Saccharomyces cerevisiae S288C: one gene and its partners. The gene in region 1 interacts genetically with each later gene. Each region holds a gene or a part of one and is shown in the gene's direction. Other genes may lie near its edges. The genes, in order: PHO91, PHO89 and FEX1.

Region 1 (7,754 bases):
TATATATATACATGGCTGCGTAGACCACGCAGAACTGTATATGTATGTATGTATAGAGGAGGGATGGGAAATGCTGTGTGACGATAGACAGATGGATGGACGAATGGATAACTACGTCTCTAGTCTCTCATACAATGGTTTGTCAAACTTGACGGCGACCGAGTTTCTTCTGTGGTGATGTCTGTTGCAAGGACAAGACGGGTCTGAGTGGTCGTTAGGAGACGCGGATGTTTGCGGCTCCTGTTGGTCACTGATGGGGAACATCATGCTATGCTGGGCGTACGAGACGGACCTTTTCATCTCGGACGACGAGCGATTATCGAAGGAGGGCAGTTGTGGCTCACTGGCCCTTCTTTGAAAGTTTTTGTGATGCGCGCATTGGTGGAAGTCGCTTGCCGGCAATACAGAGTTGCGCCTAGAAGAGGGCAGTAGTGACGGCGAGGTTGGGTCAGAAGTCAAGCACGAGGCTGCGGTGTAGTTACTCTTGAACAATGAGGGCCGCGTAGGGTCTGCTACAACGGGAGCGGAAACATTAAGTACAGTCTCGACGATTTCATTGTCAGTTGATAAAGCAGGCGGTAAGCCGACGGAGCTGCCTCTGGGGGAGCAGGCTTTAGATGTAGCAGAGGAGCAGGAGCTGCTGCTGCTGCTCCTGCTGCTGCTTCTGTCCGCGATCGACTTGTAGTGGAAGGTGATGTGAGCGGAAACAGGGATGTTCACGGCACAAGGCTTGATATCCGTGGACGACATGGAACGTTTATTAGTTATATTTTTCGAGAAAAAATCTGAAACTTGCAGATCATTAGTTTACGCTTCGGATGTACACACACATACCTATATACATATATACATACACATATATATACATTTGTGTGCTCGTATGCGTACTGTTTTGCACTGGGCTGATTCGAGAAAGTCAAAAAGCTTAACTGGCCAGAAAAAGAAATTAAAACGGCACCGAGGGGTCGAAACCTTCCGTTTCTGCGAAGGCCCTTTGTTCTTTTGCTTTTGATCCGAAATGAGGGGCGGCGAGAGGTAAGGGGTAGAGGGGCTGGAACTCTCGCTGATGTTCTGAGCGAGGTGTTCAGGTGGGCCTATCCGCCTTAATCACTCCGGCGTGGGGAAAGAAAGCAGAGAGCGAGCAGAGAGCGAGCAGAGAGTGGGTGATGTCAGAGAACGATAATCCTGATGGGGGGTGGAACTTTATTACCCTACTTGAATTTTTTTATTTTGGTAGGGTAACTTTTATTCCCTTGAAAAAAATACTTCTGGTTACCCGGATCCGTTTTTTTTCGGGGATCCACGTGATGGCTTTTTGATCAGGACTAATTTTAAAACTGAAAAAAAAAAAAAAAAATTGAGTATGTCTTGCATGTATGAAAATTGATAAGTAACTAGGAAAAATGCCGCTCAAAATCTTAGTAAAAATAACTTCTTTTCTTTTTTTACTTAGTCAAATAAAAAGAAAACTGTGAAGGTGACACGGTAACTTGCAGACTGACATGAAGTTCTCGCATTCCTTACAATTCAATTCTGTACCAGAATGGTCTACCAAGTATCTGGCCTATTCGCAGCTGAAAAAATTGATCTATTCTTTGCAAAAAGATAAGCTGTACAGTAACAATAAGCACCATGTTGTGGAGCCACATGACGCCAACGATGAAAATCTGCCGCTATTGGCAGATGCTTCTCCAGATGATCAATTCTACATCTCTAAATTTGTTGCTGCCTTAAACCAAGAATTGAAAAAAATTGATAAATTCTACATATCTCAAGAAACAGGTCTTATCGCCAACTACAACGAATTGAAGGACGATGTCATGGAACTGGAAAACACGAACAAGGCCACCCAATTGTTTAATCAGCAGCAACAGCATCAACTGCAAAGTGTTGCAAGAAACAGGAAGTCTAAGTCACAACAACGCCAAAGAAGGTTTAGTAGTGTCTCCTCCACGGACTCCAACCCCTCTCTGACAGACATGTCGATTGACTCTGCACCCGTCATCCACACGCAGGTCTCGAACACGACTAATAATGGTAACTCAATGCAAAACCTGGCCTCCGCTTCAGTGTCGCTTTCTAACTCTAACCCTGTGTATCTTTCTCCTTTTACCCAACATAGGCTCTCTTTAAAGAAAAGATTGATATCGATCTACACCCAGTTGTCCGAGTTGAAGGACTTTATTGAGTTGAACCAGACCGGGTTCTCCAAGATCTGCAAGAAATTTGACAAGTCCTTAAATACGAACTTGAAGCAGAACTACTTGAACTATATCAAATTCCATTCGCATGTTTTCAATCCTGCTACAATAAATAGGATTCAGCATCACATTACCGAGACCATCCTCACTTACGCTAGCTTGAACAAGGGCACGCGTCGACCATCTAATACGTTTAACTTGGACGCTGACCGAATCAACAATGACGAAAACAGCAGCGGTAATGAAGAAGACGAAGATGGCAACAGACAAGAAGTCCTCGATTTCCAGGATGCTGAGCGTGAATTATCCTCTCATTTGAGAGATCACGTAGTTTGGGAAAGAAACACCGTTTGGAAAGATATGATGAATTTGGAGAGAAAGTACCAATCTGCCAAGACTGACAACAAGAAGTTTTCAAAGTTGAGTTCCAGTCAATTGCGCCCCAATGCCAACATTACTGAATCCATGGCAATGTCGAGTGGTGGCGCCGGTATCATCGCTCCATCAACGGATTCCCTAACTTTCCGTGAACTCATGCATTTACCACCCAAGCAATGGTTGCAATTTATCATGGGCCAAACTTCCCTGCTGAAGTTTCTGTTAATCACCTCATGTTTCATTGCATTATTAACTTTTAATTTGACTCCTTTTACGCAGGATTCCTTACAGAAAAACTGTTTCGCCATCTTAATATATGCATCTTTATTATGGGCCACTGAGACCATCCCCCTTTTCGTGACTTCTCTAATGATTCCTCTGCTTATTGTAGTGTTCCCTGTTATCAAGGACCCTATCACCTCCCAACCAATGTCTCCCCGTGATTCCTCTCAGTTCATCTTATCAACGATGTGGTCGAGTGTCATCATGCTTTTGCTGGGTGGGTTTACTTTAGCAGCCGCCCTTTCCAAGTACAACATTGCCAAAGTCCTTTCTACGCATATTTTGGCATCCGCCGGTACAAACCCACATTTTATTCTTTTAACAAATATGTTTGTGGCGCTCTTTGTTTCCATGTGGGTTTCTAATGTTGCTGCCCCCGTTCTTTGCTATTCAATTGTTCAACCTTTGCTCAGAACACTGCCAAGAAATTGTTCCTATGCCAAAGCTCTAATTCTTGGTATCGCTCTTGCCTCCAATATCGGTGGTATGTCTTCTCCCATCGCTTCTCCTCAAAACATTTTTTCTATTGGTATAATGGACCCTTCACCATCTTGGGCTGAATGGTTTATGATTGCGCTACCTGTGTGCTTTATTTGTGTCATGGCAATTTGGGTGCTATTGATCATAACCTTCCCTCCTGAGCCAAATGTGAAAATTTTGCAATTGCATCCATCCCGTGATCCATTCACTCTGAAGCAATGGTTTGTCACTTTAGTTTGCATTATAACAATTGTTCTTTGGTGTCTTTCAAACCAAATCTCCGGTATCTTTGGTGAAATGGGAATCATATCTATTATACCTATAGTAGTCTTCTTCGGTACAGGTCTTCTAACTTCGGATGATTTCAATAATTTCATGTGGACAATCGTTGTTTTGGCCATGGGAGGTACCACCCTAGGTAAGGCGGTAAGCTCATCCGGTTTATTGTCTACAATGGCACAGTTAATTAAGGCGCAGGTTGAGCATGAACCAATCTTCATTATTGTGTTGATCTTCGGTCTAGTGATTCTTGTAATGGCCACTTTTGTCTCCCATACCGTCGCGGCAATGATCATCGTACCATTAATGAGTGAGATCGGTTCCAATCTACCTTCAGGTGATCATTCTAGACTATTGATCGTTATAGCCGCCCTATTATGCTCTAGTGCTATGGGTCTTCCAACCTCTGGTTTCCCCAACGTGACTGCCATTTCAATGATTGATGAAGTTGGTGATAGATATTTGACCGTGGGTACATTTATTACGAGAGGTGTACCAGCCAGTTTGTTAAGTTATGCCGCTATTGTTACAGTAGGTTATGGCATATTGAAAGTAATGGGATTTTAAGATTATCCATAGAGAGAATGAAAGGTTACTAATATAGTATGTATACGTGCACTATTATTTAATTTTACTTTATATTGCCTCTAATTATTCTCAATCACAACCAAAATACTTTGAATCAAAAAATCTGGTCAATGCCCATTTGTATTGATGATTTTGTAACTTTTCTCTGGAGATGATCATACCAGCAAAAATGTTGACTTTGTTATCAAATGCATTTAATATACGTCGGATACCAACTTCAGTGGCCAAATAAACCACCACGCTAATCTTTTCCAAATCAATACCATGATCTAAAAGCACCTGGATGGCCATGATCATGGCCGCACCACTTATGATTTGACCTTCCATTAAGAAAACCTTGCCAAACTTTTCTATATTTGGGGGTAAAAATTCGCAATGCAGTTGAGGTTCCCCAGTTTGTGAATCGGACTGAATCAACAATTTACCAATTGTGATATTGGGGATCGTCTTTCTCAAAGACTTCATAAAACAATCGCCAGATCGAATAATATTAACAGCTGTAACTTGATCGAATTGACAGGCAATAACGTTTTCCATGGTATGCTCACCAGGTGTAATTATGTTCGTATGTGCTACAGGAATGTCATCAAGTGCCCATGATAACAAAATTGTTGCTAACCTGTCAAAGTAGAAAACAAAGTCCGCGCAATTTAGATTTTTATTTAGAAGCATAGTATGCAGCGAAAGAACTTGGTTGGTGGGCGGCAATTCATGAATTATGTTACGATTAAGCACATCTTGTGAAGGAGAAGAGCCCAATTTGATTAGCTCTCTTAAGTGTTCATTTGATTTTAGTTCCAGTTTTGACTTGATGTGGTTAATGATTAAATTTACCGCTGTAGCATTATCACTCATCGATGGAATGATAGCATCTGCATTCTTCATTGTTGGTTTCACAAACTTTACCGCATTTGGTTTCACAAATTTCTCCCATTGTTGAATACAACCATCCAAATCTCTCCCTCTGGAAACTATATCTCTCGACAATCTTCTTGCTAAGCAGACATCCAAATCAGCGTCAACATAAATTTTCAAGTCCATCAAATCCAGCAATCGGCGATCGTAAAGGGCGTAGATCCCTTCGATAACTACCACACTGGCCCCGTATATGACTATATTTTTATCAGGAACTCTATTGTGGTGGACGAAGCTATAAACTGGGATATTTGTCCTTTTGCCCTCCTTTAAGTTCAAAATGCACTTATATGCCAAATCTAAGTTGATGGCATTTGGCTCGTCGAAATCGTATTCATTTTTAAAGGCTCTGGCTCTGTCCTCTGGGCCTAATGGATTGTAAAAGTTATCCAAAGATATTAATACTGTCCAGGGAACATTAATTGACGACACAATCTTAGCAGCAACGCTTGTCTTGCCTGAACCTGAAGCACCACCTATACCTATTATATATGGAGTTGTCCATGGTGGGATATACCGAGAGCTTTTTCCTTTTGTTTTTTTGACATCTACTTCACCATCCATGACTGCATTAGCTTTCAATGTGTCTCTTGTTTCATCGTCTAAAATTGAAATAAATGATGAAGATCGTTCTTTGGAAGGTGCTATACGATGGGACATAATAAATAAAATAAATGCGAGTTCGAAATTAAACGTATGAAATTATCGAAGATGTCGCATATAAATAGTAAATAAGACGTTATCCAAGGCCTACAGCCTTACGAAAAAAAAAAAAAATCACATCTCTTATCTTATCGATCTAAATTTTTCAGTTTCCTTTTTTCATCTCGAAGCTCATCGCATGAAAAAAAAACTTCGATATGTGAGCGTATTAAGACAATAGAGGAAATAGTGAGAACAAGTGGGAAAATTAAAGACTAATCATCGAAAATATGCAAGAATTCTTTAAGTGCTCGTATCTCAAATGTAGCCAAAACAGTACTAGCCCATACAACCTGATGACGAGAACGTGCTGAAAGTGGAAGACAGTTAGTTACCCGGACAATTAAAAAGTGATATTAATCAATTGTATAAGTAATAACGGATAGCTGCTATATGTTTAATTGGCATCTATATAGATAACAAGCGTGTATAGCAACACATGTCAAGTATTACATCTGAAACCGGTAAGCGAAGAGTGAAACGAACGTATGAAGTTACAAGACAGAATGACAATGCAGTAAGAATAGAGCCTTCTTCCTTGGGTGAGGAAGAAGACAAAGAGGCCAAGGATAAGAACTCTGCCTTGCAGCTAAAACGATCACGCTATGACCCCAATAAAGTTTTTTCTAATACGAACCAAGGTCCAGAAAAGAACAATTTAAAAGGAGAACAACTTGGATCACAAAAAAAGTCATCAAAGTATGATGAAAAAATAACGTCAAATAATGAACTTACTACAAAGAAGGGTCTACTAGGTGACTCCGAGAATGAAACTAAGTACGCCTCTTCTAATTCTAAATTTAACGTAGAAGTTACTCATAAAATAAAGAATGCAAAAGAAATTGACAAAATAAACAGACAACGCATGTGGGAAGAACAACAATTGCGAAATGCTATGGCGGGGCAAAGCGATCACCCTGATGATATAACATTGGAAGGCTCTGACAAGTACGATTATGTGTTCGACACAGATGCAATGATTGATTATACTAATGAGGAGGACGATTTACTACCTGAAGAGAAACTTCAATATGAGGCACGTCTAGCACAAGCTTTAGAAACTGAGGAAAAGCGTATACTGACTATACAAGAGGCAAGAAAACTTTTGCCTGTACATCAATACAAGGATGAGCTACTACAAGAGATCAAAAAAAATCAAGTTTTGATTATAATGGGTGAAACCGGTTCTGGTAAAACCACACAGTTACCCCAATATTTGGTAGAAGATGGATTCACTGATCAGGGAAAGTTACAGATTGCCATAACACAACCACGTCGTGTGGCGGCCACTTCTGTTGCTGCAAGAGTAGCAGATGAAATGAATGTTGTGCTTGGGAAGGAAGTGGGTTATCAGATCCGTTTTGAAGACAAAACAACCCCAAATAAAACGGTTCTAAAGTATATGACGGATGGTATGTTACTAAGAGAATTTCTTACAGATTCCAAATTAAGCAAATATTCTTGTATTATGATTGATGAAGCTCATGAACGTACTCTAGCCACAGATATCCTGATAGGTTTGCTGAAAGATATTTTGCCGCAGAGGCCCACTTTAAAATTGCTTATATCATCAGCAACAATGAACGCAAAAAAATTTTCAGAGTTTTTTGATAATTGTCCCATTTTCAACGTTCCTGGGAGAAGATATCCTGTAGATATCCACTACACATTACAGCCGGAGGCAAACTATATACATGCCGCTATAACAACTATTTTTCAAATTCATACTACGCAAAGTTTACCGGGGGATATATTGGTGTTTTTAACGGGGCAAGAAGAAATTGAAAGAACAAAAACCAAACTGGAGGAGATCATGTCTAAATTAGGTTCTAGAACAAAACAAATGATTATAACTCCTATATACGCAAATTTACCCCAAGAGCAGCAATTGAAAATTTTCCAGCCGACTCCGGAAAATTGTAGGAAAGT
Region 2 (8,081 bases), on another chromosome or scaffold:
ATATTGATACACTCTATTCATGTTCCGGCAACAATTATTTTTTTTTTAATTCTGTAAATTTACTTTTTGACGTATTCTTTCAGCATTTCTGTGCTTATGTTAGAATTCAAGAGAGTATTCCCTATTCCTGGTAACGTAAATTCGCTTTGTAAATCAACGATACATGATTCTCATATCCCAACAAAAATGCCACAAAATTTATATTAGTAAGCTGCCCGCTTAAGTATATACTTAATGTAACTGTATATAGAATTATCATGACCATCAGAACTAAATATTACAAACAAGTAAGGCAGGAGTAGAATAATCTCGCCTGAAGAACATAGCTTCTTACACCCTCGAAAAGCAAGACTTAAGAATATCACTCACACTCTATCAGTATATCTATCTCGTATAAGTGAACGGCGTGAACAATAAATTAAGGAATTATGTCGTCTTCATCTTTGGAATCATCATTTAGGCGCAGTGGTCTAGAGATAGGCAAATCGATTAGAGCACTCTGACATTTAGTTGAAAACCTTTGAAACATTTTATGATTGCAATGTTTCAGGGAGAAAACGAACTTGGATACATCGCACAAAATATTCCAAGCCTCCAACTTCATATTGTGATCATACTTATTTACGATATCTACCAATGCATTGGCTACTTCCAATGATTTCATTGGTATTCCAGGACCATGTACATCATACAGGTTGTTTGGAGTTAAGAATATGTCGTCCAGCATATCCTTTGCAATTTCGACCAATATGTGAGCATTATTGGCGTTTGAGAAAAACTTGGTACCATTCATCTGAAACACTAGCTTCCAAGCCAGCGCCCTAATCCAATGTCGAGAAAATGAAATGTCCACATAGCCATAAGACCATGGTTCTATTTCAAGGGATGCTGTGTGAAGCTCTTTCCATATTTTTTTCAGTGAGTCTTCAGTGCAAGAACCGCTAGTAGACTCCGTAGCCAAAGCATCAAAAAAGCATTTACCTGGTACAGTAAATACTCTAATCATCTCAAAAAAGCTATCCAAAGAAAGTCGAGGGTCCGTTACGAACTCTGGCTGAGGTGGAGCTATTGTGGTATCCAAACTTGTAACACAATGAACATATACGGAATAGTATCTTTCCGTCAAGAGAAGCAAATAATACACCTTGCGTAAAAGCTGTTGCTCACGAAATGATAGTGATTCGTATGCTTTTTCACGATGTAACCCTGCTACAATAACAAGGCCAATAGCTTCACGACAAAGTCTGTATGAATTTCTTACATCAGAAGACTGTGAAAAACAACGTAGCAAGCAATAATATGTCATAATTCGGAAAATGTCTCTGCCGCTAAGGTCATCAAATTGTTGGCGTGAGGACATACAGAGAACGGCTAATTGTTTTCCAGTAAACGAAAATCCCCCCTCAGATTCTAATTCGCTTTGTAGATCGCTAAGATTGGCTGCTGAAAGAGCTACGAGAAACCAATAAACGTAATGGTCATTGTATTCTTCGTCCAAAAGCTTGTGAAGGTCATCATAAGAGAGTAAAGGCCAGATAACATATAGATTGTCGTGATAAAGCCTCAAACACTGATCAATCACCTTTTTAGGAACCTTCATTAATATTTCTGCCGCTGCCGTACAACTTTTATTATCTATAAACATTTTGGCCTTTGGTATATACTTTAAGCTTCTAGTTCCAATAGGCTTTGAGCCTCTTTTTTTTAATGGTTGCTGATATGTGCAATCGAAATTGTGCTCAATACAGCGACTACATGGTTTTTTACCATCACACTTTACTCGACGGACACGACAATAGTCGCATGCATACTTGACTAAAGTCATATTTAGAACATAAATATCTTCAAGATGCTCTCGTTCGATGTTTGATATTCAATATTTACACTCTAGTGTTTTCCCGAGAAAGAAACCTTCTGAAATGATTTTTTGTTCCTTTTTAATCTATTGAAAAATGGCGGTACGGACAATAAAATCCGGGGGCGGGGTAAATTGCGCATGGCCGTGGAATGTCACTGCAAAGTGAACGAGAAGATTAGAACACGGAATAAGGAAAACTTCTGGGGAATTTATTTTTCAAGATTTGGTTCCAGGTTTTTCCCCAGAAATGAAAGTGCTAGATGATTGGTTTTCAAGGAAGTTCTCAAAAGCTGTACACGGAAACAATCACGGCACCATTTCCTTGTCAACTCTGTCTTATATCAGAGTCCATAAACTAGTAAAATGACTTCGTAGAATCGAACAATATCTCACCATAAAATTTTTTTCACAAACAAAAAAGACGCTCTATTATACAAAAAGCTGCTGCGGCCCTTCTTAATGACTAAATCTTGACAACTGAGCTCTTTCACACCTGTGCAAAATCCAATGGGAGCAATAAATGTAACATATTTTTTTAACATACCACGGTAGGGCAATGAATATAAATAGATATTGGACCGTATCCTTTTCTGATCATCTTGAAAACATTGTCTTGCCTCTCAACAGCTTTATCTATTCTTCACCTCTCTTCGTTTGACTATTTCAGCATGTATTTTTTCACACAATTTTTCTTCCAACTATTTTCCAATATTACTACGAGAATTCCGACCACGGAAAAAAACTTGCGCTGTTCCAATCAGTCCCATTCTATCCATCTACCTGCCAGTGGTTTCGTAATATCGACTCACACCAGTAACGACATAACTGTTTTTTCGTTCATGATTTAATAGCGAGCCCACCTTTAACGCATATCTGCTTCACCGCTGAAATAATATTTTACGAGCACGCTAACACAATGCTTGTGTTTTCTGTTGAAATCACAATACCGTTACTTGGAGTGACCATTTATGGTTTGTTGAATTCACAGTACTCTCGTCAGCTTTGTCACGTATTCAACTGTAACCTCTTTGAATCTCAACACTACGTTGTCTTCGCGTGTACTAAATGTATCGATTATATAATAGTATTTAAAAATCATTTAAAATTGCACCATGTACTGTATAATGATTTTCTCAAGACGATATTTCGAGTTTTGCCGATGGGTCTTATAATCTCTTTTGATAGAGATACCTACTTTTAACAATATCAAAATTACTGATATAGGTTAATTTTTGTTCACGAGTAAGTACTTCAGTGACACTCGTCAGTAAAGAACATTAGCGGAATCGTTATAATTTCATTCCTTACATCCGTTTAATTTCATTAATTCGATGCATCTTTCTTTGGCGAAGCCAGAAAATCTAGTTTCAGAAATCTCGGTTTCACCCGCAAAAAAGTTTAAATTTCACAGATCGCGCCACACCGATCACAAAACGGCTTCACCACAAGGGTGTGTGGCTGTGCGATAGACCTTTTTTTTCTTTTTCTGCTTTTTCGTCATCCCCACGTTGTGCCATTAATTTGTTAGTGGGCCCTTAAATGTCGAAATATTGCTAAAAATTGGCCCGAGTCATTGAAAGGCTTTAAGAATATACCGTACAAAGGAGTTTATGTAATCTTAATAAATTGCATATGACAATGCAGCACGTGGGAGACAAATAGTAATAATACTAATCTATCAATACTAGATGTCACAGCCACTTTGGATCCTTCTATTATGTAAATCATTAGATTAACTCAGTCAATAGCAGATTTTTTTTACAATGTCTACTGGGTGGACATCTCCAAACAATTCATGTCACTAAGCCCGGTTTTCGATATGAAGAAAATTATATATAAACCTGCTGAAGATGATCTTTACATTGAGGTTATTTTACATGAATTGTCATAGAATGAGTGACATAGATCAAAGGTGAGAATACTGGAGCGTATCTAATCGAATCAATATAAACAAAGATTAAGCAAAAATGGCTTTACATCAATTTGACTATATTTTTGCCATTGCCATGTTATTTGCATTTTTGGATGCCTTTAACATCGGGGCAAACGACGTGGCGAACTCATTCGCGTCGTCGATCTCTTCTAGATCTCTAAAATACTGGCAAGCCATGGTTTTGGCGGGTCTCTGTGAGTTCTTGGGTGCTGTCTTGGCAGGCGCAAGAGTTTCTGGTACTATCAAGAACAACATTATAGATTCCTCCATTTTTACCAACGACCCCGCTGTTTTAATGCTTACTATGACCAGTGCTTTGATTGGCTCGTCTTGTTGGTTAACATTTGCTACTGCAATCGGAATGCCAGTTTCTACTACACATTCCATTGTTGGTGGTACAATTGGCGCTGGGATTGCAGCCGGTGGAGCTAACGGTGTCGTTTGGGGTTGGAGTGGTGTTTCTCAAATTATTGCGTCATGGTTCATTGCTCCGATTTTGGCAGGCGCGATCGCAGCTATAGTTTTTTCAATTTCTAGGTTTTCTGTCCTTGAAGTTAAGTCTTTGGAAAGATCGATTAAGAATGCTTTACTGCTGGTTGGTGTTTTAGTATTCGCCACTTTCTCTATCTTAACAATGTTGATTGTCTGGAAGGGTTCTCCAAACCTACACTTGGACGATTTATCTGAAACTGAAACTGCCGTATCTATTGTTCTCACAGGTGCAATTGCTTCGATCGTTTACTTCATCTTTTTCTACCCATTCTACAGAAGAAAAGTTTTGGACCAAGATTGGACACTAAAGTTGATTGATATTTTCAGAGGTCCATCTTTTTACTTTAAGTCCACTGATGATATCCCACCAATGCCAGAAGGCCATCAATTAACAATCGATTATTACGAGGGCAGAAGAAATCTTGGAACAACTGTTTCTGTTGAAGACGAAGAAAATAAGGCAGCGAGTAATTCTAATGATTCCGTCAAAAACAAAGAAGACATCCAGGAAGTGGACCTGGTTAGAACTGAAACTGAACCAGAAACAAAGTTGTCAACGAAACAATATTGGTGGTCATTATTAAAGCAAGGACCTAAAAAATGGCCCTTATTGTTCTGGTTAGTAATCTCTCATGGTTGGACTCAAGACGTCATTCATGCTCAAGTTAATGATAGAGATATGTTATCTGGTGACCTGAAAGGAATGTACGAAAGATCTAAATTTTACGACAATAGAGTAGAATATATCTATTCGGTTCTCCAAGCCATTACTGCAGCCACTATGTCTTTTGCTCATGGAGCTAATGACGTTGCCAACGCTACTGGTCCTTTGTCTGCTGTGTATGTGATCTGGAAAACTAACACTATTGGGGCAAAGTCCGAAGTTCCCGTGTGGGTTCTGGCTTATGGTGGTGTTGCCTTAGTTATTGGTTGCTGGACTTATGGTTACAATATTATCAAAAATCTAGGTAATAAGATGATTTTGCAGTCGCCATCAAGAGGCTTTTCAATTGAACTAGCTGTTGCTATTACTACTGTCATGGCTACCCAATTAGGTATTCCTACCTCAACAACCCAGATCGCCGTTGGTGGTATTGTCGCTGTTGGTTTATGTAACAAGGATCTCAAATCAGTTAATTGGAGAATGGTAGCCTGGTGTTATTCTGGTTGGTTTTTAACTTTACCAATTGCTGGTTTGATTGCCGGTATCATAAATGGTATCATTTTGAATGCTCCTCGCTTTGGTGTGGAATACCAAATGACATAATCATAATGTGTTTCGGTTATGAATACAGTTTTACAACATTAGGTAGAACTTTTATTGCTCAGTGACTTTAAAGTTAAAACATTTCTAATTTAAAACCTTAAAGATGCATTAATTTTTTTCTAATTTATCAGTTGATCTGCAATTACCTGGCATGGCTATGTGTATTTTTTTTTTTTATGAATTCCATCATATTAAATAGAAAACTAAACTAAATAATAAATAGAGTATTACAGAGTCGTCAAAAAAAAAAAAGAAAAGAAAAAAGAAAATCTACAATCAAATAGCAGCAGTACCTGGACTAAATCTTTGCATAACGCAGAAGTATAGCTACAAAAATTACAGGGAGGATACTAACTAGTTCCCCTAAACCCGCATACTCTGGTGGAATATGAAAGTCAACAAAGGCACCAGCCGCCAAAAGGATAGCAAATAAGTTGTAAGTAAAACTCCATAAGAAATTCAATTTGACCCTAAACATGGCCTTTTGACTTACAGTTATCATAGTCAAAATATTGTTGAGCTTTGGCTTTAACATAACTACATCAGCAGCTAGCTTGGCAACCTCACTTCCCTCATTGATATGAACTCCAATCGTTGCTTGAGTCAAACCAATTGCGTCGTTTGTTCCGTCACCGCAAAAAACAACAACCGGTCTTTTTGACTGCGAAGAACTATCGCAATTTCTTCCTTCGACAATATCCTTAATATATTCACTCTTTTCTGCAGGCGTTGCGTGAGAACGAATATTGGAGCTTTCAATTCCAAGACGGGCTGCCATAGAACGAACGGCTCCATCGTCATCCCCTGATAAAATGTGTAGTGAAATCCCTCTTTGGCGTAACAAGTTAATAGTGGAGACAGCATCTGCCCGTAAAGAGTCCTCTAATGCATAAACTGCAGTGACTGAACCATTAACACTAAAACAGAATACAGAATATCCTTGTTCAAGGGCTTTTCGAACGTCAGGATCATTGTTATGACCAAGCCAACGACAGTTCCCTCCTTGTAACTTCAAACCAGAGTATGATGTTCCTTCTACCCGCTTACCAGTCACAGCTTTTGTATTAGAAACATTTTGAGCAGAAACACCTTTTTCTTTGAGATAGGATGCTATTGCCATGGAAACTGGGTGTTTTATTCCTTCAGTTAATCCAAGCAACAAAGATTGAGAATTATGACGATCACCCCTAACAGTTTCATGTACTACAGTAAGTTTTCCTTCAGTTAGGGTACCCGTTTTATCGAAGACAACATGCGAAGTGTTGTGAGCAACTTCTATACTCTCTGCTGATTTGAAGATTACCCCTCTTTTCGCAGCGACGCCACTTGCAATAACAAATACGATAGGAACGGCAAGTCCAATCACGCAGGGACACGAAACGATAAGTACCGTAATGGCATATATAATGGCCTGAATTACGGCATCGGAGCGGGATTGCTTTTCCACACGGATTCCAACCGCTATCCAAACGCAAAAGGTGACGACAGTGATTCCAATGATAGTTGGCACGAAATAACTTGCAATTTTATCAGCGATATTTTGGATCTTTGGCTTAGTTAATTTTGCTTCATCAACCATCGTGGCTATGGTACTAATAGTATTGTTCCCTGGAAGCTTGCTCAGCTTCACAAACAAAGTACCAGTGCCATTCACCGATCCTGCAACAACAATTGATTGACACTTTTTCGGGACTGGCATAGATTCACCTGTGATTAACGCTTCGTCGACTTCAGAAGACCCAGAAATGACTGTTCCATCAGTTGGGATTCTTGAATCAGGTAAAACCTTAAAAATATCGCCATATTGGAGAAGTCTAATATTAATTTCCGTCTCTTTACCAGTTTTATCCACCAGAATAGCAGAAGAGGCCTGTAAGGAACGTACTGATATTGACTTTACAGCCCTATGTCTAGCTAGTTCACTCACAAAGCGACCAACCATGATGAGAGTTACAAGCAAAGAGCTGGTTTCAAAAAACTGCTCCGTAGATAACGGGCGTCCAACAACGAAATATCCAAATGATACAATCGAAAATATGTAGGCAGCGCTAGTGCTTAAAACTATTAGTAGATCCATTTCAATGAGCCTGGAAAATATCAAACTCTTCAAGGCATTTAAGTAAAACGGTCCTGCAATAACAAATTGAATAATAGTTGCTAGCACCATTGACGCGGAGATAGTGGAAATTTTTTCACGAAGCTGTGGAGCCCAAGCCATCACGAGAATCGGGATCGTCAATATTATGGATAAAGCGGTCGTGCAGCCTACACGAACTAAATGCTTCCTTCCCACTTCAATGGTTGGATGACAACTGAATGGAGCAATACTAACAGGCACGCTCCATCCTTCATTGACAAGATCTCTGGCACCTATAACCTTTGGGTCAAAGTAAATACGAATGATATTTCTCTCAACAATTTTCAGCTCTGTGACACCTTGTGGCCATTCCTCATTAATAAAATCTTTTGCTGCATAAGGAACAACAACATCTATAGTTGAACCATGATTTGAAATCTGTTCGTACTTGAAT
Region 3 (7,436 bases), on another chromosome or scaffold:
GCGACAGAAACGACGTTAGAACCAGTAACTTCGGTGACCGTGATTTTCCGTTCATTTGCAGCTTCTAAATCGACATGGTCTGAACCGACGCCAGCGGTTACACAGAGCTTCAGGTTAGGAGCTTCTGCAATCCTGTTTCTCGAGATGTAGGCGGGGAAAAAGGGCGTAGTAATGACAATTTCAGCGTCTTTCAACTCCCTGTCTACCGTTGAGGTTGGCTCAGGGTCCTTGTCAATGGTAGTAACCAACTCGTATCCCTGTTCTTCAATGAAATTTCTGATACCAAGTTCATTTTCAATACACCCCAATAACTTTTCCTGCTCTTCAGCATGCTTACCACCTTCGTAAAGAACCAGCAAAACCTTTCCCTTCGACATATTAATTTTCAGCTGTTATTTTGATTTGATTAGCGTTGCAATACTTGTAAATTGTTCCTGCTTAAAATGAATAAAAAAAGCACAATACAAGAATATGCATATTTTACGTAAATGATATATTAACTAAACTTTCCTCAGCAAGAACTCATTAAAAAAGACTCAATTTTGTGCCCTTTTATATGTTCTTTTTTTCAATGATTGACAGTGCAGAGTGATTTCTCCAACTTTTAGTTAACAGTGAATAATCCAAGAATAGTATATTCCGCATAACATCAAAATAGTTTTATTACTGGCATGTCTTTTTCATTCGGAGTTCTAGTATCGGTGCCTTCCTAGTAAGGAAATTCCCGATTATAAGGGAAAAAAAGAAAAGGGATAAGCCGCTTGGGCTGTTGGTCCAAACAGAATGTTTTAAACCATAGCCAAACAAGTGCAAAATAGAAAAGTTGGGGTTAAAACTCTCTTTCAAGCCTATCCTCGAGTGGTGACAAAATAGGTAATTTCCGACACTTTTTTCTGCTACTAAGCACCGTGAAAAGAGAACGTTTCGAGAGTACATTTCGTACTGAATGTTGTATAAACTCTATGCTTCTAAAGATTTATCCAAACCGTTGGAGCTTTCCCTTTATTTCTACATAGGTTTCGAAAACGGTCTCCTACGGAGCTTCTCCTTTTATGGCGATCTGTTTTTAAAGTGTTTTTTAGAAAACCATTAAACTCGAGGCTTGGTTTATTTTTGCCTTCGAGATAATTTTCTCTTTTCCTAAGAAATTTATGTTACGCCAACAAAGACAACTAATAAGGTCTCAGTTCCTCTTGATCGTTAGCGATAATGCTTTTTTTTTGCACTTGCGGAGTGTAAATATCTATAGAAAAATAAACCACTTGAACAAGGGGAGCTTCAAGAACCTTTATGCATATTATCGAAATTTTTAGAGAAAGGTTCACGATTCAAGCTTTGTTTACCAATGTGATGTATTACAGTGTTCATGTCACTTGCATTGACATTGTCTTTACACCACATTAAACACAAGTTAACAACCGTTCTCCGGGCAAAGCGAGACGATGCAGTAATCAGCGGCAATGAACTACGTATGTAAAAAAAAGATCGGGGTGTAAAAATTCTATGCCAAGAAAAAAATTAAAAACAAAATAAAAAAAAAAAGAAACTTGCGGCTCTTCACTCTTAAAAGACAAAAAGTATTAGGATGATAAAAAAAATTCATAAAAAAAAAAAATTCTATGGCCTCAGTTCTCGAAGAGCCCATTTATAATTGTTTACATAAATAATGAGATTCCACCGTCAAGGTACCGCAGCCACCGTAGGCGTACTGCTCATTGTGCTGCTTGGTTTCTGTTGGAAATTATCTGAATCTTATGGCATAGTGTCAACTGCCCTACCACACAAGCAACCTGCAACCAAAATCACAGACACACCTTCTATACGATGGGATAATTACCATGAGTTTGTCAGAGACATTGATTTTGATAACAGCACGGCTATCTTTAATTCCATTCGAGCTGCTTTAAGACAGTCTCCATCGGATATACATCCTGTCGGAGTATCTTATTTTCCCGCTGTAATTCCCAAAGGAACTTTAATGTACCATGCCGGATCAAAAGTGCCAACTACCTTCGAATGGCTGGCTATGGACCACGAATTCAGCTACTCTTTCGGCTTGAGGTCACCATCCTATGGGAGAAAATCTTTGGAAAGAAGGCATGGGAGGTTCGGCAATGGCACCCATGGTGATCATCCAAAAGGGCCACCACCACCACCACCACCAGACGAAAAAGATCGAGGTTCACAAAAAATGCTTACCTATAGAGCAGCACGGGACCTCAACAAATTTCTCTATCTTGATGGGGCTTCTGCTGCAAAAACTGACTCAGGAGAGATGGACACGCAGCTAATGTTGTCAAATGTTATTAAAGAGAAATTGAACCTTACAGATGATGGTGAAAACGAACGAATGGCCGAACGACTCTACGCTGCTAGAATATGCAAATGGGGGAAGCCATTCGGGCTTGACGGAATTATCAGGGTAGAGGTTGGCTTTGAGGTCGTTTTGTGTGATTTTTCGGCTGATAACGTCGAACTTGTTTCAATGTTAGAAATGGTCCAGCCTAACCAGTACCTAGGCTTACCAGCACCTACCGTTATATCGAAAGAGGAAGGTTGGCCTCTGGATGAAAATGGAAACCTAGTTGAAGATCAGCTAACAGATGACCAAAAGGCGATTCTGGAAAGAGAAGATGGTTGGGAGAAGACTTTTTCTAATTTCAACGCAGTTAAGAGCTTCAATCAGTTGAGAGCGGGTACAGCGCATGACAACGGGGAGCATCGAATCCATATCGACTATAGGTACCTAGTGAGCGGGATAAACAGGACTTACATTGCTCCTGATCCTAACAACAGAAGATTACTCGATGAAGGAATGACATGGGAAAAGCAATTGGACATGGTAGATGACTTAGAAAAGGCTCTGGAAGTCGGATTTGATGCCACGCAAAGTATGGATTGGCAGTTAGCATTTGATGAGCTTGTCCTTAAATTTGCTCCATTACTAAAATCTGTTAGTAACATACTGAACAGCAATGGTGATATTAATGAGTCAATTGCCATCAATGCAACAGCACTCACATTGAACTTTTGTTTAAGGTTTGAGCCTGCAAGCAACAACAGTGATGAATTCGGTAGCGGGAAAGACTTTGCTGTCTACCAATATGTGAGCCCATACCAGGCCTTAAAAACGGATGCAGACTTTTTGATTTGGTCATCTGCTGTCAGCGTGGTCGGAGAAATTGTTGATGCCATTTATAAAGTGAATGATTTATTGATACCCGAAGTCTACTCTTTTATGACAGATAACACAACTTCCAGCGACTTAATAAAGAATGTCGAAACGGCTCGCTCCACTATCGATGGTTTAATTGAATCTCTAGGGTGGATTGAACTAAATTACCGTTGTGAGAGACAATGCAATTGGGATGAAGTTTGTTACACTCCTTCCTGGGGCCCATCTCCAATGGGTATGACTGAACCAGGTTCCCACAATGAGGGATTTGGAACCCACTTTGATGAATCTCGACAAAGGTTGGTTATTAACAGTAAACTACAGTGTATCAATATAAATGATTTGATGGTTAATCGTAATCATTAGCGCCTCCTGTGAGAAGGCCATTGTGGGACAGTATAAAGGGTATGATTTCTAGATAATCTAATAATGATTATGAAGTTTTTGAGATTTGGGGTGATACACATCTATGAATTACTAAGAGATTTGAGACACAGCGACAGTCATGCCAGCAAGATTTAAGATTTTCTTTATTTAGTGTTTATATACATATCAGATATCTGTTGAGTATTTTCTATTTTACCAAAAAAAAAAGATATGAAATCAAGATAAAACGTCGTATGAAAGACAAGGGAGCTCAGCAGCAATATCATAAAGTAAAGCAACAGCGCTTGGTTTATGTACAATGAACGATCTGAAAATTAGTTGGCAGCGGAGCTACGAATACATGTCAATATTACGTTACGATTGTATAACAGGGGAGGAGAATCGTGCACTTTGATGGGTATATCGAAAGATGGTGACTATGCTAGAGTCACTGTCAGTGAGGAGTTGCGATGTATGAAAGATTCACTGACATAAAGTGGCGCGATTCATGTAGAAGTGTAAATCACTTTTGACGCAATGATGGAAGAGATACAGAAGAGATACGGAAAAAATAAAACAAAAAACAACTGAAATAAGTACTAATGGATTATATTTATTGCCGCCATTATTATTTAGCCTCTGGTGGCTCAAGAATCTGCAGTTATTTAATTATTTAATCGAGCGTGTAATGCTCTGATGATTTTCAATCCGGTCATATCAAATCACAAGTTGAGCCATTATATTCATGTTTTTTGTACATTCACCACGTTCTGCATATTAGGTACTGAAACACGTCAGGCTATAACGGCGCTTTCCACCTACACTCCGGCCTTCGTTACTGCTCCGACCGTTCTCTGGTCTAATTGTTCATCCTGCATGCTAATGGGGATTATGCAATCTTTAAATGCTTACACTTGGATGAAAGATCACCAAGTCTTGTTTTTAGGTGTAACTACTGGGTACTGTGGTGCCCTGTCTTCCTTTTCTAGTATGCTGCTAGAGATGTTCGAACACTCTACAAACTTAACTAACGGTAATATCGCTAACCACACAAAACTGCCGAACAGAGCTTACGGTATAATGGAGTTTTTATCTGTCTTGCTCGTTCATCTTATGGTTTCCATGGGTAGTCTTATTTTCGGTAGGCAACTTGGTAAGGAGGTTATTGTTGCTTATGGATCTAGTTCGTTTTCGAAGCCATATACCCCTCCCTCAGACACTGTAAAGGAAAATGCTGGTGATGTTGATACACAAGAAATGGAAAAAAATATTCTAGAGTTTAAATTCAAAACTCCAGCACCATTTTTTAAGAAATTTTTTGATATTGTGGATAAACTCGCGTATGCACTAGCTTTTCCATTAATTATTTTGTTTGTGGTGCTGTGTGCGTATTATGAGAACTATTCGAGGGGCAAGTGGACACTACCATGTCTATTTGGAATTTTCGCTGGTTTCCTAAGATATTGGTTGGCAGAAATGTTTAATAAAACAAACAAAAAGTTTCCATTGGGTACTTTCTTGGCAAACGTTTTCGCCACTTTATTGATTGGCATATTTACCATGGTGCAACGTGGTAAAAAACACTTTTCTACGGACGTTCCAATTGTGAACTCGTTGAATTCATGTCATATTGTTTCTGCGTTAATATCCGGATTTTGCGGCACTTTGAGTACCATTAGCACGTTTATCAATGAAGGGTATAAGCTATCATTTATTAACATGCTTATTTATTATACTGTTTCGATTGCAATTTCATATTGCTTATTGGTGATAACTCTCGGATCCTATGCTTGGACTAGAGGATTGACCAACCCGATTTGTTAGGATCTTTTCTTTATACTTTTCCCTGCATAATCATCCCACTTTTTTTTTTTTTTTTTTTAATTCATTTTCAAGATTTTAGACGTTGTATAATACATTTTTACCCACTACTGCGGTTTATTGTAATATTTTGTGAGATTTTATGAATGCGTTCCATCATCTATTTACTACAAAACGATAAATTTCCCCGTTTTCTTTTACTTTTACTTCATTTAATATAATTCATATTTATTTCCCATGTACCAATTAATTACTCATAAAAAGAACAGAAATAGAAAAAAGTTGTATATAACAAGCCAAAAAAAAGAAAAAAAAAGGAAAAAAAAGAAAACACAGCTTATTTCAAATTGCAATCTGCGTATTTCGTAAGTAACGAATGATCTCACAGCATTGCTTTTTTTTTTTTTTATATATATATGTACATTACCTATGTCACATATGACCATGATGAATACAACACTAAAAACCAAGGCCTACTATTCAATTGTTCTCTATATGATTTCCATTCTAGCAAAATCGAGTGCTACCGACCTGCCGTTTTCTTTACCTTTCGAACCATTGAGCTGTTAGCCTTCTCTTCACAGAAACTGAAAGTCATTAAAAGCCTCCCCTTCAACAATTCCCTTGTCTTTTGTTTCAGCTATATAATGCGTTTATAGCTCTAATTGTGGTCGAATAGGAAGAATTTGCGTTAACACCCGTAACTAGCTTTCCATCTGTAATAGAGTAGTCATCCCAGGGATGGATTGGCGCCAAGTACTTGGCTCCATTCTTGTTTGCAACGCGTTCAACCGTTGTCAATTTTCTGCTCCTCAAGATGTCGTCAACTCCCAGGGCGATTTCACCCTCGAGTGGGAAACCTGTTATAGCTTTGCCTTCGATTAATGGTCTTGTTGTTTTGATATCTATTAATCCATCGAAAAGGAGCGGTCCATGACAGATGGCAGCGATCACACCCCCATTGGCATATATCTTGGATGCAATATCTTGCAGATTTTTAGCTTTGGGATAGTCAAATAGAGCACCATGTCCAGCAGATGCAAAGAATACTTTATAGTCGCTGGCGTTGACTTCATTTGCGGTCTTGATCCTCGCTAACGCCTTATTGAAGGCGGAATTTTTCGTTTCAAAGTTCATCTTATCTTCGCCACCAATAAAGCTCTTTGGCAAGTAATGTTCATCCCAGCCAAATCCACCAGTCTCAGAAACGAAGTCCACTTCGAAACCATGCTTTTCGAATGTATCGAACGATCGCAAAATCTCAACTACAAAAACGCCTGTTTTCGCACCATCTTTGTAGAAGGGACCGTGGTATGAAGTAAGAGATATTAGCGCTCTTTTTGGAGTCATTGCAAGGCCAGTTTTCTTTTTGAATGAAGGAGAAAAGTGTTCTAGAAATATGTTTTAGTTCTAAGTATCGTTGTCTGGAGCAAGCAAAGAAAAGCAGACCTGTATGTGCAACTTTCCTGTTTTCCATTAAAATCTCAAGAACCGACCCCTTGACTGTGCTCATATATCAAGTATCGGTTTTAAAGTCCCCTAATTGTGATAATTGCAAGAACGACAGTCAGAAAGATATTTTTTTTTTTCTTTCTCTTTACCTATCCTCCATAAAAATACCTATGCTGATACTGAATATCTTCATTTGCAGCTATGCAATATTTCAGATACCCCATTTTACCCAAGAGTTTCTTACTGGTGGTTGGATTTTCTTTAAGACGAGAAGATTACCAGTCCTGGATGTTCGTGAATGTGCCTATTGCGTCATCAGCGACTCCGCGCCAAGAAAAGAAATACTCGCATGCTCGGATTTATAGAATCGCATAATGGAAATACCTTCCTTAAAGGATGGAGATAAGGAAAAAATGACAAGAACAAGGAAGTACTTGGGAGCTTTCTCCGACATGGTAAATATTTGAAACTCACGCAGCTCTCCTGGAAAGTTGGATCTGGAAAGGTAAGGTTGTTTTTTTTACAGACATCAACCAAAATCGGTTCTTGTAGTAGACAATGTCACAGATCGCCACAAGTTGAAAAAAAAGTTTCGATGAACTGGATAAGGGGAGAGGTCACA

The links.
Region 2: mutations in PHO91 (region 1) and PHO89 are lethal when combined (synthetic lethality), as found in Saccharomyces cerevisiae (one study listed by BioGRID).
Region 3: mutations in PHO91 (region 1) and FEX1 together harm fitness more than expected from each alone (negative genetic interaction), as found in Saccharomyces cerevisiae (2 studies listed by BioGRID).

Annotation. Positions count from the first base shown.
Region 1 is NC_001146.8:645,461-653,214, reverse strand, and holds PHO91 (Pho91p), read left to right. Parts: upstream 1-1,502; coding exon 1,503-4,187; downstream 4,188-7,754. Other genes in the region: YNR014W (uncharacterized protein), read right to left, coding at 112-750; uridine kinase URK1, read right to left, coding at 4,278-5,783; DEAH-box RNA-dependent ATPase PRP2, read left to right, coding at 6,265-7,754. UniProt on the Saccharomyces cerevisiae protein: Vacuolar phosphate transporter that probably exports phosphate from the vacuolar lumen to the cytosol.
Region 2 is NC_001134.8:794,267-802,347, reverse strand, and holds PHO89 (Pho89p), read left to right. Parts: upstream 1-3,825; coding exon 3,826-5,550; downstream 5,551-8,081. Other genes in the region: transcription factor MAL33, read right to left, coding at 419-1,825; TYC1 (Tyc1p), read left to right, coding at 2,106-2,225; cation-transporting P-type ATPase PCA1, read right to left, coding at 5,849-8,081. UniProt on the Saccharomyces cerevisiae protein: Sodium-phosphate symporter. Active in early growth phase.
Region 3 is NC_001147.6:1,072,547-1,079,982, forward strand, and holds FEX1 (fluoride transporter), read left to right. Parts: upstream 1-4,237; coding exon 4,238-5,365; downstream 5,366-7,436. Other genes in the region: FDH1 (formate dehydrogenase (NAD+)), read right to left, coding at 1-377; YOR389W (uncharacterized protein), read left to right, coding at 1,667-3,541; HSP33 (glutathione-independent methylglyoxalase family protein), read right to left, coding at 5,999-6,712. UniProt on the Saccharomyces cerevisiae protein: Fluoride channel required for the rapid expulsion of cytoplasmic fluoride.